2 linked regions of the Lonchura striata genome follow. The protein of the gene in region 2 interacts with the protein of the main gene of each other region in a pairwise test. Links are inferred from orthologs where the notes say so. Each region holds a gene or a part of one and is shown on either strand. Other genes may lie near its edges.

What was found. The genes of interacting proteins can lie anywhere in the genome.
Region 1: the proteins of LMNA (region 2) and TMPO interact in a two-hybrid assay, tested with the Homo sapiens proteins (2 studies listed by BioGRID, with this or other methods). The link is inferred for Lonchura striata from reciprocal best matches to the Homo sapiens genes LMNA and TMPO.

Annotation. Positions count from the first base shown.
Region 1 is NC_134607.1:55,415,743-55,421,432, forward strand, and holds the start of TMPO (thymopoietin), read left to right. Parts: upstream 1-2,239; 5' UTR 2,240-2,398; coding exon 2,399-2,641; intron 2,642-5,690. UniProt on the Homo sapiens protein: May help direct the assembly of the nuclear lamina and thereby help maintain the structural organization of the nuclear envelope. Possible receptor for attachment of lamin filaments to the inner nuclear membrane.
Region 2 is NC_134635.1:1,183,303-1,188,992, reverse strand, and holds the start of LMNA (lamin), read left to right. Parts: upstream 1-1,924; 5' UTR 1,925-2,056; coding exon 2,057-2,406; intron 2,407-5,690.

The DNA of each region.
Region 1 (5,690 bases), on a different chromosome or scaffold from region 2:
CGCAACAACTATACTAGAGTTTGAACAATAGCCAAAACATATGATAAGCTGCTATCTTGATGCTCCTATGCCAGTTTCATCTGACAGCAAAAGCAGAAAAACACAGAACCAAGATAAGACAAGTCAGCCTATCCATTTGTTATGACCAAAGCTGAACTGTGAGTGTAATTGTAGGGATTTACTATTTTGTGCTGTATTCCTGTAGGGGTTTTTTATGCTACACTTAATGCATTAAAACCAGGTCTGCCATCAATGTATTCAAGCTCAGTGGTTGTACTTCCTTCCATTCCTGAACTGGCACTCACAAGAAAAGCCAGCACCAGCTGTATTGCAGGATCTGAACAGTACAGCAAGTTGTGAATGGTGCCTGCACTAAGAAGGACTGTCAAAAAACAAGCTTCAGGGCTATCCTACTATTATTCTCTTTGGGGATGTTACATGGTGACTACACCAACTTTTTAGATTGTATTTTCACTATTAACTTTGACTGAAATTTCCCAGACCCAGTTATCCCTTATGCTGCTTTAAATAATTTTAGACTTGATATGAGTTAAAGTTGTTATTTTTTACATTAGTATGATAACTGAAGGATCTCTCTAAAGTATATTGTGCAACTTGTTCCATATCTGGAAAAGAAGCAAATTCTTAAAGGTAGATGAAAGACTATTTCCCAAGCCACCTAAAAGCTTTTCAGGGTGAAAAATACTATGCTTTAAGTTAGCACTATCAAATTTGAACAGGAATTAAATTTCCTTTAAGTATTTTTAAAACACCTGTCATGTAATGCCCATGTACCTGGTAAATTGTTGGGTAAAATAGCTGAAAATATATATAGAACCATCTAATTTGTTCTAGTCAAGCTTAAAAGTAAATGATAGTAGTCAATCCATGTTGATTCATTACTTTTTACTGTGTGCATGTGTGGTATTAATGGAGGAAGATGTTTCTACCCACTGTTCAGTCTCGTTGCCTAACTGAACAGGTTAAGTATGTACACCAGGAACCAAGCACTTTCAGATCCAAATAATAAAGAACTTCACATGACTGCCACCTCACAGAGCTACTAGCACAACGAAGTAAATTAAATGTCCCAAGCTAAGCTTCTCCCTCCTCTTAATTATTTTGTTACATCACACCAATTCTTCAGTGGGAAGTGTCAAGCTTCCTGTGGGTGGGTCCTTGATCTGTCTCGAAATTACCTACCAGAAAAAATAATCCTCATCACCTTCATCTAACTGATACTGAGCTATGGTAAGGTAAATAGGAGCAACAGGCACCACGAGAGCTTCTTGACGGAGCACACAACAGTAGTGGAAATCCCTTTTCCTAACAGCAACTTACAACTCTTTCTGGAATACAAAGGAGAGTAGGTGCAAACACCAACAATCCCATTTCAGATCCATGACTGATGGAGAAATTGAAATAGCTACATCTAAATTCTTATTTTTGGTATACTGTAAGGTGGTTCTCAAAAGCATAGGACATGTAGTCAAATCTAAACACTAAACCTTTCCCATCATAAAACAGAAGCAGTGCGTGTTCCCAGCAAGCAGCAGGTAAAACACAGAAGAATTTAACCCACTTGTTTAAAGACTGTAAGACTGCAGTGTTGAACTTAATCGAACTTCTCCAGCAGGAGCACACTTGCGACATTTTATTAGTCGACTTCACAAACGGATAAATAAAACGACTGAGCGCTTTTCAAACTCTGCGGTACTGTAGCTGCGAGTTCGGGGTTTGCGTTTAAGCCACCGCAACGGCGGCAGTCACACAAACAGATTAGCTACTGATTTCCCGGCTGGATTTCTTCTGGAGCCCGCTAGCCAAAGGGTTGGGCGGCTGTCCCGGGGGAAAGAGCTGCCGAGCCGCTCTGCCAAGGCCGCAGGTGCCTCCGGGGCAGAGGAGGCGGCAGGTGTGGCGGCAGGACGCCGGGATCGCGGCAGGTAACGGGGATGGCGCTCACGCCTGCCCCGCGGCAGGGAGGGGCGCTCCCGGGGCGGGGACACACCTGTCACCCGAGGGGGCCCCGGCGGCTCCCCCGCCCTGCCGGCGCCCGCGAGCGCCGCCCCGCGCGCCGCTCCCGCCCGAGCCGAATTTAAACTGCGTTACTGTCCCTCGCGCAAAGCACCAACGCCGCGGCTCCCGCGCCGCCCGCCCCCTCTCCGCCCGCCGGCCAATAGCGGGGCCGCTTCGTTGCTCTCCCCACCAATCAGGGCGCCGCTTATTGCTGGCTGGGAAGAAGCGCTCGGTGCGCGCGCCCGCCCGCTGTGGAGCTGGTCCCTGGCGCGGAGCAGGCGAGTCCTCCTCCTCCTCCTCCTGCCGCTCCCCCGCCCCTTCTCCCCGCGCTTTGTTGGTGCCTCTCCCGGGAGAGCGGCGGTGGCGGCTGCGGCCGGCGGCGATGCCCGAGTTCCTGGCGGATCCGTCGGTGCTGACCAAGGAGAAGCTGAAGAGCGAGCTGATCGCTAACAATGTGAGCCTCCCGGGCGGCGAGCAGCGCAAGGACGTGTACGTGCAGCTCTACCTGCAGCACCTCACCGCCCGCAACCCGCCCGCCCTCGCGCAGCCCGACTTTTCCAGCGACGAGGAGCGGGAGCCCACACCGCTCGGCGCCCGGAGCCGCGGAGCTGCTGCCGCCGGGCGGGTGAGTACCGCTGCTCCTGCCCGCGCCGCCTCGGCTTCCCGGCAGCCTCGGGCCCGCTTTCCCGCCCGAACGGGGCCGGCCGCCCCGCCCGCCCGCCGGGGCGCGGCGCGCCGGGGTCCCCGCACGGGGCCGGGAGAGCGTCCGGCTCGGCCGCGGGCGGGATCGCGCCCGGCCGGGACGCTCCCTCCGCCTGGGGGAGCGGGGCAGCGGGGCGGCCGCCCCGCACCGGGGACGAGTTGGGACGGCGGGTCGGTGCCGGGGGCCGCGGGCTGCTCCTCCAGGATGCGTCCCGCCCGGAGCGCCCCTTGGAGCTGCGGGGCAAGGCAGCGCCAGCGCGCGTGGAGCGTGCAAACAGCCCCCAGACTGTAAACTGGGAAACCTTTGCTGTAGCTTGGCGAGCGCTGTCCTAAGTAGACTATTGCTGTGTTGGAGGAGCGAAGCAAGAGAGCTGTACGAGGTTGCAGCTTGCTCAGGAAAGGACTCCGGTCCGCTTGTTGTACGGTTGTACGGCAGCAGCGCTGGTCGGTGTAAATGCCTCTAAATGAAAGATGAAGCTGCGCGGTAACAGCTAGTTTGTTTCGCTTAATGATGTGGACTGTTTAGTGTAAAGAGGGTCTGCTTAATGTAGACGTCTTGCTCGTACCTCTAAGATGTGTATTACAGCAAAGCGCCTCTGGTGCCTGTTCTGTTCGTCCACTGTGCTTGTTTTCTTAGACTTTACGCGTGTGATGAAAGAGGGAAAGCTGATGGCATTTGAAGTTTTTCCTCTTTGGGAAAATGTGATTTTTTTCTTAATTTTTCATAAGTGTACTATAAATTTGCATATATTGAGAATGCAATCTTGTAATTGGTGTTGTAAGATGTCTAATCTCGAGAAAAGCCTTGGATAATGATTATCAGCTTCCGGAGTCCTAATGTGTGTGATAGTGAAACTATTTAATTGTGTCTTAGATACTGTGTTTCAAAGGTCATTAGTTGAGGGCGTGCTGAGAAACGGAGTCCTTTGAAGGTCTTTCACGCTTTAACTTTCTAAGAGAGCAGTTCTTAAACTAAAAAGTCGAAAACTGTAACTTCAAGAGGAAGAGCTCTCTAAAACCAAGTTATTTACCTTATTTCTGTCTATTTCAGACACTTACTTGGCATTTACTGAATGCAGTTACAGTGAAACAGATATTTCTCTGACTTAGAGTGGTCTGCTGATAGCATTCATAAGCTGCTTTTGAGTAAAACATGATGAGCTTGAATCTGACTTGTTTCATGCTTGCTGGAGGAGGAACATATCAGAACTGCTAGTTCCTCTCCTAGATAGGAGTTTTCCTTTCAAGAGGGCTTAAGTTCAAACAATTGTGAGTGAGTTTTTTGATGTTTACAGAATGGGTGGTTCTCCTACACTTTTGTTGACAATATCTGGAAGGCTCTGTGTTATTTATGCTTGTGTTTTAGTATCAGAGCACTGTATCATCAGAAGTTCCAGAATTTCGGCAAATAATCTAGTGAGAGCTGCTCAGATTTGGGTCCGTTGTGCCCTGTGTTGTGTCGCCTTCCCCTCGGTACAACAACCAACCCCAACCGAAACACTCAGAAAAATCCCAAACAATACCTGCCAAGTAAAACAAACTTGGATGATCTGTGCTTGTTTTCTTCTTTGTGCCACTTGAATAGTTCTGCAACTACTTGTAGCCTGAGTAACTTGTCCCTGTTAATGTCTTTTGGCATAAGGGTACTTCTGTGATCAGCTGTCGTTCAAAAAGATTAGCACAGGTGTCTCCAGAATAATTTGCCCCCAGAACAATTGAAAAGAAGAGGAAGAGCGAGGGACATCCCAGGGGACTGGGATTCTGGTGAAAAACCAAAGCAAAATATCTTGGTGAGTTTAAGAGAGGATAGGAGGGACAGCACTGACATTTGTAAGAAGTTAGAAATAAGGGACAAGGGTGGGAAGCTGGAACTGCAAGCAGTGATGGAAAGGCGGAATGAAGTAAAAGAACGGGCCTCCCCCGCCCCTCTCTGGGCCCGCTCGCCCCTGGCTTTATTAGGAGCAAACAGCGCCTGGCCTCTCGGAGCCCGCAGCCGCCTTGGGTTGCCGGCCTCGCGTGCGCGGAGCGGCCGGAGGGTGGGGCCGGGCGGGGCCGGGCGCCAGGGGGCGCGCTCCGAGGCGTCCTGAGCGGGGGCAGGCAGCGCTTGTCTTACGGCGGGTGTGAGCAACGCCTGCAGGCAAGCTGAATACCCACGCTGCAGTCCCTGAAAGCTGTACCGGGTCTCTTAATGCTGGCATTGGAGTTTCGACATGGCTGTAGTCATTAGGAATTTTGAACTGTCTACACTGTCATTTTAGTGGCATTTTTCTAAGTTCTGAGCATTTGATAATGCGTTCAGGTGCTTATTTTCTATTGATAAAAGCTGTACAGAGACAAAATCCCATCGTTTCAATTATGTTGCAAATTATGTTTTGATTCTGTCACTCTTCCATCTTAGCTCTATCCAGCCCAAGAATATATGGCTCACTTTGGCTATATATTCCTACCAGAACAGGAAAGGCTTTTAAAATCACACCTGTTTGTGCCTCAATCTGATAATATTGTTGGGAGAAGCCAGCTTCTCCAGCTCTACTAATGTTTTTGACCAACTTTTTTGCTTTTTTCCCTTAAGCCTGTTTGGCATAGTGGTATCTGAGGACAGTGACTAGCTACACAAGACACTATTGCTTCAGGGTGAACCATCTGCTTCTGAATGCCCCTTGTCCTGGTTAGTTATGAGCTGAATGTCAGCAAAGATAGCTCACAGGAAAAGTAACTATGAAATTACATTTTTTCCTCTCTAGGACCATTATTTTAAAGCATGTACCAAAAATATTGGCATGATGCTGTTGTCAAACAGGAACTGTTCAGAGCTTAGAATGCATAGATTATTAAGACTCAGCTTGCTGTGCATTTAATGTCTTGGAAGAATCATTTCTAATGAATATATTGAGGGATTTTTTTTTTACCTTTAAAGTGATTATATGAAAAAGATCAGTCTGATGTCTCCTGTTAATGAAGGTAGGATGAGA
Region 2 (5,690 bases):
CCGCCGTTCCTCGGGGCCGTGCCCGCCGTCCCCGGCTGCTGCCAGCCCCGTGGCCCGGCCACAGCGCCTTCCTGCCCGCTCTCGCCTGCCCTGGGCGTGACACGCTGGGTGCCCCCAGGGCTGCGGGGTCCCCCCACCAGGGAACGGGCAATGCGCGTGGGAGGAGGGAGGAAAGGTGTTGGGACAGGCGAGGAGGCAGGGAAGGAGGAATTTGTGTGGCACTGAACAAAGGAATGGCGTGAAGGAGCGCAGACCCCCCTGGAGACGCAGGGAGACCAGTGCTGAGTGAGTGGTGGCACAGAAATGCCTACAGCAGTCAGGGGGCTTCTCCAAGCAGAGAGAGTTTCCCTGCGAGCCACGGTGGGGAAGGAGGGGGAATCTCACCCCCAACCCCTCCCTGTGGCAGTGCCAGGATGGCTGTGCCCAGCTGACACCCCCCATTTCCCCCCTTTCCCCTCCCATCTTTGACGTGGTGCCGGGGCAATTCCCGGCTTTGAGCTGTTGCCTTTTGAAAGTGCCCCCGGATTGTGGCCGGGTCCTTTCCCCGGCAGCGCGGCTGCGGGCGGGTTAATCACTGCCGGAGAGCGCACACGCGTGTCCTGTGTGTGCTCTGCGTGTTTGCGTGTGTTGCTCCGTTGCTGTGTGAGTCATCCTCAGCCCCGAGCGGAGCAGCAAAGCGAGCTTGGATTGCAGCGCGGACAGGAGGAGCCGGGCGGCCGCGGCTCCGGAGGCGGCTCGGCGTGGCTGTGCCCTTGACCTTGGACCCCTCTGCTCGCAGGGAATGCCTGGGGGAGGTTGTGCTTTGGGGTGCTCCGGCTCTCGCCAGCGTCCCCAGCTTCGAGGTGCAGCTGCCTTCCCGTCTTTCCTTTCTGCAGAGCCCGACTTTCCAAGGAGGAGCTCACACGGAGGAAGGTGGATCTCCCCCCAGGACCCCCGCCTCCCCCTCATTTCTAGGGTGTAAAAGCGTTGCTTTTCCACTCCCATTGTCATTTTATTCCCATTTCTCACACACGGGAGGGTTTGGCTCCAGAGCACAATGCAGGGAGGGGGAATGAAGTCCAAGGAGGGGACATCCCCCCTCTGGTAGCGCTGGGAGTGCCTGGAAGCATTTGGCAGATCTGGAAATCATGAGCTGTCTGTGTCTCGGTAGCGTTTTGAGGGAGACAGAGCACCCCGCACCTGCTGGGAGGACTGGGAATCCCCCCTGCTGGGAGCTGGCCATACTGGAAGGGTGGTTGAGTGGGACTGGAGGGGGCTGGGAGGCAGGAGAACAGGAAACAGTCAGGGAATTGGGACGTGAGCTCAACTGGTGCTCAGAATTTGGGGAGCTACAAACTGGCACAGCTGGCACTGAGGAGAGCTGGGAAATGGGGAATACCAGTGCTGAGAGAACTGGGCAAAAGCAGTGCAGGGAAGTGGGTAGGTGGGTGGTGGCATTCTTTAGTGCCTCAGTGCTCTTTGTGTGTGATGCCTCAGGATTCAGGGGAACCCAGACCAGGGTGTTTCAGGACTGCATTTGGGTCCTTGGATCCCAGAGTTTCAGGTACCTCGGGGTCCTGTGCAGCCTGTGGCTCCTGCATTCAGGGTGTGCCAGGACCCCCCATGCCCTGCCCTGTCCTATGGGACAGCAATGTCCTGGAAGTGCTCCGCCCAAGGGTCCTGGGGGTGCCTGGCTGCTCCTCCTCCCTGCAGCCCCCTCCTTTTCCCTGTCACTCCCAGTCTGCGATGCAGCCTTTGTCGAGGGAATCGCCCCAGAAAAGCCTGCAAAGGGGTTTCCCCGGACTGTGTCCCCAGAGACGCCCTCCCAAGGCCCCTCTACCCAGAGATATTTTCCCAGCCTTTCCTAAGGAAGGGCTGGGACTGATGCGACTTGTCTCCACCCAGCTTTTGGATAACTCCACCCGCCGCCGCCTCTCAGCTCCTCCTCCCAGTGAACAGCCCAGCTGGGATATAAGCAAGTCACTCAGACGCCGGGAGCTGCCGCGACAGCTGGGCGGGTGGCGTGGGACATCGCGCCGTGACCTGAGCCGTGCCCCTCGCCTCGACGCCGGACCCCATGGCGACGCCTTCGCAGAAGAGGAGCACCCGCAGCGGGGCTTCGGGGACCCCCTTGTCCCCCACACGCATCACCCGGCTGCAGGAGAAGGAGGACCTGCAGGAGCTCAATGACCGCTTGGCCGTGTACATCGACAAGGTGCGCTCGCTGGAGCTGGAGAACGCCGGGCTGCGGCTCCGCATCACCGAGTCCGAGGAGGTGGTGAGCCGCGAGGTCTCGGGCATCAAGGCTGCCTACGAGTCGGAGCTGGCGGATGCCCGCAAGACCTTGGATTCGGTGGCCAAGGAGAGAGCTCGGCTGCAGCTGGAGCTCAGTAAAGTGCGGGAGGAGCACAAGGAGCTGAAAGCCCGGTGAGTGCCCTGGGGATGGCGGGGACTGCGGCGGGACGGGTGCTGTCGTCATGCTTGGCAGGGAGCCGGGAGGGAGGAAGGAGCGACCTGGAGGAGCCAGGGAGAGAGAGGAAAAATCCGTGGCCTGGCCGGGGCTGGAGTGTCTGTGGTAGGGACCAAAAGAGGAGAGAAGCTCTCTCGTCATTCCTGCTCTCCTTCCAAGCGCCATCTTTGGCCGGGATGCCCTTGGAGCGGGGATTTGGGAGCGGAGCTGGGCACGCCTGGGGCAGGGGCTGAGCAGACATGCCCTGGGCCCCCGGCAGGGTCGGTGCTATGCGGGCCGGGAGCGCCGGGCTGGCGGCCCCTCTGCCTTCGTCATGCTGGAGCTATTCCTAAACACGCTCCGGCACAGCCCGGGAAGCCGTGCCAGCCAGCTGGCTCTGTCCTGCCTACGGATTTCGCCTGCTCGTCCTATTTTCCTTTGCTGTCTTTGGCACCGGTTAAAGAACCTGCTCCAGGTTTTGTTTGCTTTAACCCTCCCTGTGCCAAGCTGCTCCCACTCTGTGGGGTCCCTGGCTTTGGGGGAAGAAGTGTGCGGGTAGCACTCGTGTCCCCCTCCCACCAGCTGTCACTGGGTGATGTGCTCCCATTGAGGCACGAATTCCTCCAGCCGCTGCCCATCGGGCTCGTTTCTTTCCCTCCCTGCCTTCGTGGACCCTTCCCTGCTGCCTCTGGGTTCCTCTGCCCTCCTCAGGGCTGTCACCGGTTACCAGCCCAGGTCCCCTGAGGACACGGGGCTCCCTGGCCGGTGGCACTGCTGGCCAAGCAGGGGCTGGCCCTGGGCTTCCCCTGGGCTCTGCCAGCCCGTGCAGCGTCGGGACGTGTCCCTGCGGCGCTCAGTTCCCGAAGGCTGCTCCAAGGAAGGAGCGAGCCGATCCCTTTCCGTCATCAGCTTTGGCTCGCAGCCGTGTTCGGGCTGGGCAGCGGCGGGAACAGCCCCCTCTTGTTCCGTTTGATCTCTTGCCTCTTATTCTGGACTCCTCGTTTTGAGCCTGTACCAAATGAGGCTAAAATTAACTTCCTTAGCAGATGCCATAAATATTCTACCTGGGAGGGAGGGACTGTGCTGCCTGTTAGAGCCGTATCCGAAAGCCGTGTGGGGTTATATTTAGCTTTCTATTTCCCGTGCGCTGCGGCAGTTTCGTTCTCCGATAAGGCGGTTTGCTGCTCGCCAGATCCCCGCTCCCGGATCCCGGGGATCGGGATGCTGGTGAGAGGAGGAGCTGAGCTGTCTAAAGGCTTTTTTTCTACCTTGTGCAAACCCAGAACTATCTTGGCCACGATCTTTCGAGGGCTGGAAAAAATGCGCGGCCCGCAGCCGTGGCAGGAGGGGAGCTGGCTGCGCTGTGGAGCCAGCCGTGGGGAAAACGGATGTGGAATTTTTCCCTGCGACCGGCCGCGCTCCGGGAGCTGCTGCGCTTGTTCCCGGGCGCTGACAAATGCCCTGAAAGAGTGCTGGGACTCGCGGGGGTTCCCGGAGAGCAGCTTGTGCCCGAGAGAAGGGTTTTGGAGAGCAGTAGGTGCTCGGGGGGACAGGGGTGTTTCCGTGTTGAGTCATCTGTGAGTCACGGGCGCTGCGATGGAAGAGCGGAGATGCGGGGGAAGCCGCTGCTGTTCATTCCTGCCTCTGGTTTGTCTCCTCTTCCTAGGGCGCGGCATGAGGGCTGCTCCCCAACCCCTAAACCCTTGCAAGGAGGCTGCAGCTCATCTTGTGTCCCCGGGGACCTGCTCGTTGTGCCAGGGCTGCTCAGAGAGCAGCACAGTCGGCTGCTGAGCTGCGATGCTGCTCCTTGGGCTCACTTTGACTGGGGTGTCCGAGTCTTTAGGGCATGAGGGAATGGGGCAGCCACGAGCCCAACCCTGCGGAGGGGTCAGAGGTGCTGGCGGGACCAGGAGGGCCCCGTTGTGACACTGCTCTGCTCCCTGCCATCCCCTTGGGCAGGGATGTGCCCGCGCTGCCGGCTCTCCCCGCCCACCCTGAGCCCTTGGGCCAGCCCTGGGGCCGCTTCACTGTCCTTGACACGGTGAGACTTTGGCTAATGAGTAACCGCAGCCCTCTGCGCCTCTCGCTGTGCCCGTCGGCCCCGAGAAGCGCCGGGTATCTCCCGCAGGGCAGGCGCCCGGGGCCGCGTTATCAGCGCCCACAGCATCGCCGCTGCCCGGTGCAGGGGTTGTCTCGGCAGCACAGAGGGAGGGTGGGGGGCCGGGGTGCCAGGGCATGATGTGACACGGCCCCGGGCGCTGGGTGCTCTGTCTGGGGTGGGGAAAGAGCTGCTGGCTGCAGGGGGACAAGCTGTGCAAACAGGAGACCAGTCTAACCAGTACCAGTGCATGAGTGCGAGAGCTGCACGGGTGGAGGAGGGTCTGAGAAGAGCTGGGCTGCCTGCCCTCTGCCCCCTGCCACCCCTCTGCTCCTGGCCAACTGCTCTTGTCTTGGGAAAGTTTCCAGAGGGATTTTCCCACTGCCTGTTTGGCTGATCCGGGAGGGGTTTCCCAAAGCACCCACCTGGCTCTTGGCACGGGGACCCTCAGCCCTGTGCAGCCTGATACTGGTTGTGCCCCAGGACAAGGGAGTCCTCTGGGCAATCCTGCCTGCCCTGGTGCCACACGTGTCCCCAGCTCTGGCTCTGCTGTAGCCACGCTTCAGACGAAGCAGAGGGTGTGGGGAGGGTGCCTGGTGACTCAGGGGTGCTGGCAGCAGCGGCATCATCAGACCACGGGTAGAGATAGGACTAGTCTGAATTGCCCCTGTCCCTGGTGTCCTCAAGCTTCTGTCCCCTTTCCTCAGAGGACACCTGGATTCCAGCATGGCACCTCCATGGAGGTTGGAGAGATGCTCTGTGCTTGGTCCTGCCCATTGCCCCTTCTCCTTAAGCTGGCTCCTGACTCACAGGGTGAACAGAGCCACAGCCCTTGCCTTGCTCCATGAGAGTTCACCCCATCTCACAAGTGGGAGACACCCCACAGTGCAAGGGGATGCCAGGGGTTCTAGAACACAGCCCTTGGGCACCTTCAGTCCCAGGAGACACCTGAGGGATTCAGTGCCCATTCCACGGGCAGGGAGTGGCCATGTGGTGGCCACACAGTGACCAGCTCCCCTCTCCAAGGCAGGAACCAGCCCTCGTTAGTACCACGCTGATGAGCAATGCCTTCCTGACTTGCAGCCCCTAACCTGATTAAGGCAGTGCCTGGGCAGGGCCTCTTCCTCCTGGGGCCCAGATCTCATCCCTGGCCCTAATGAGGAC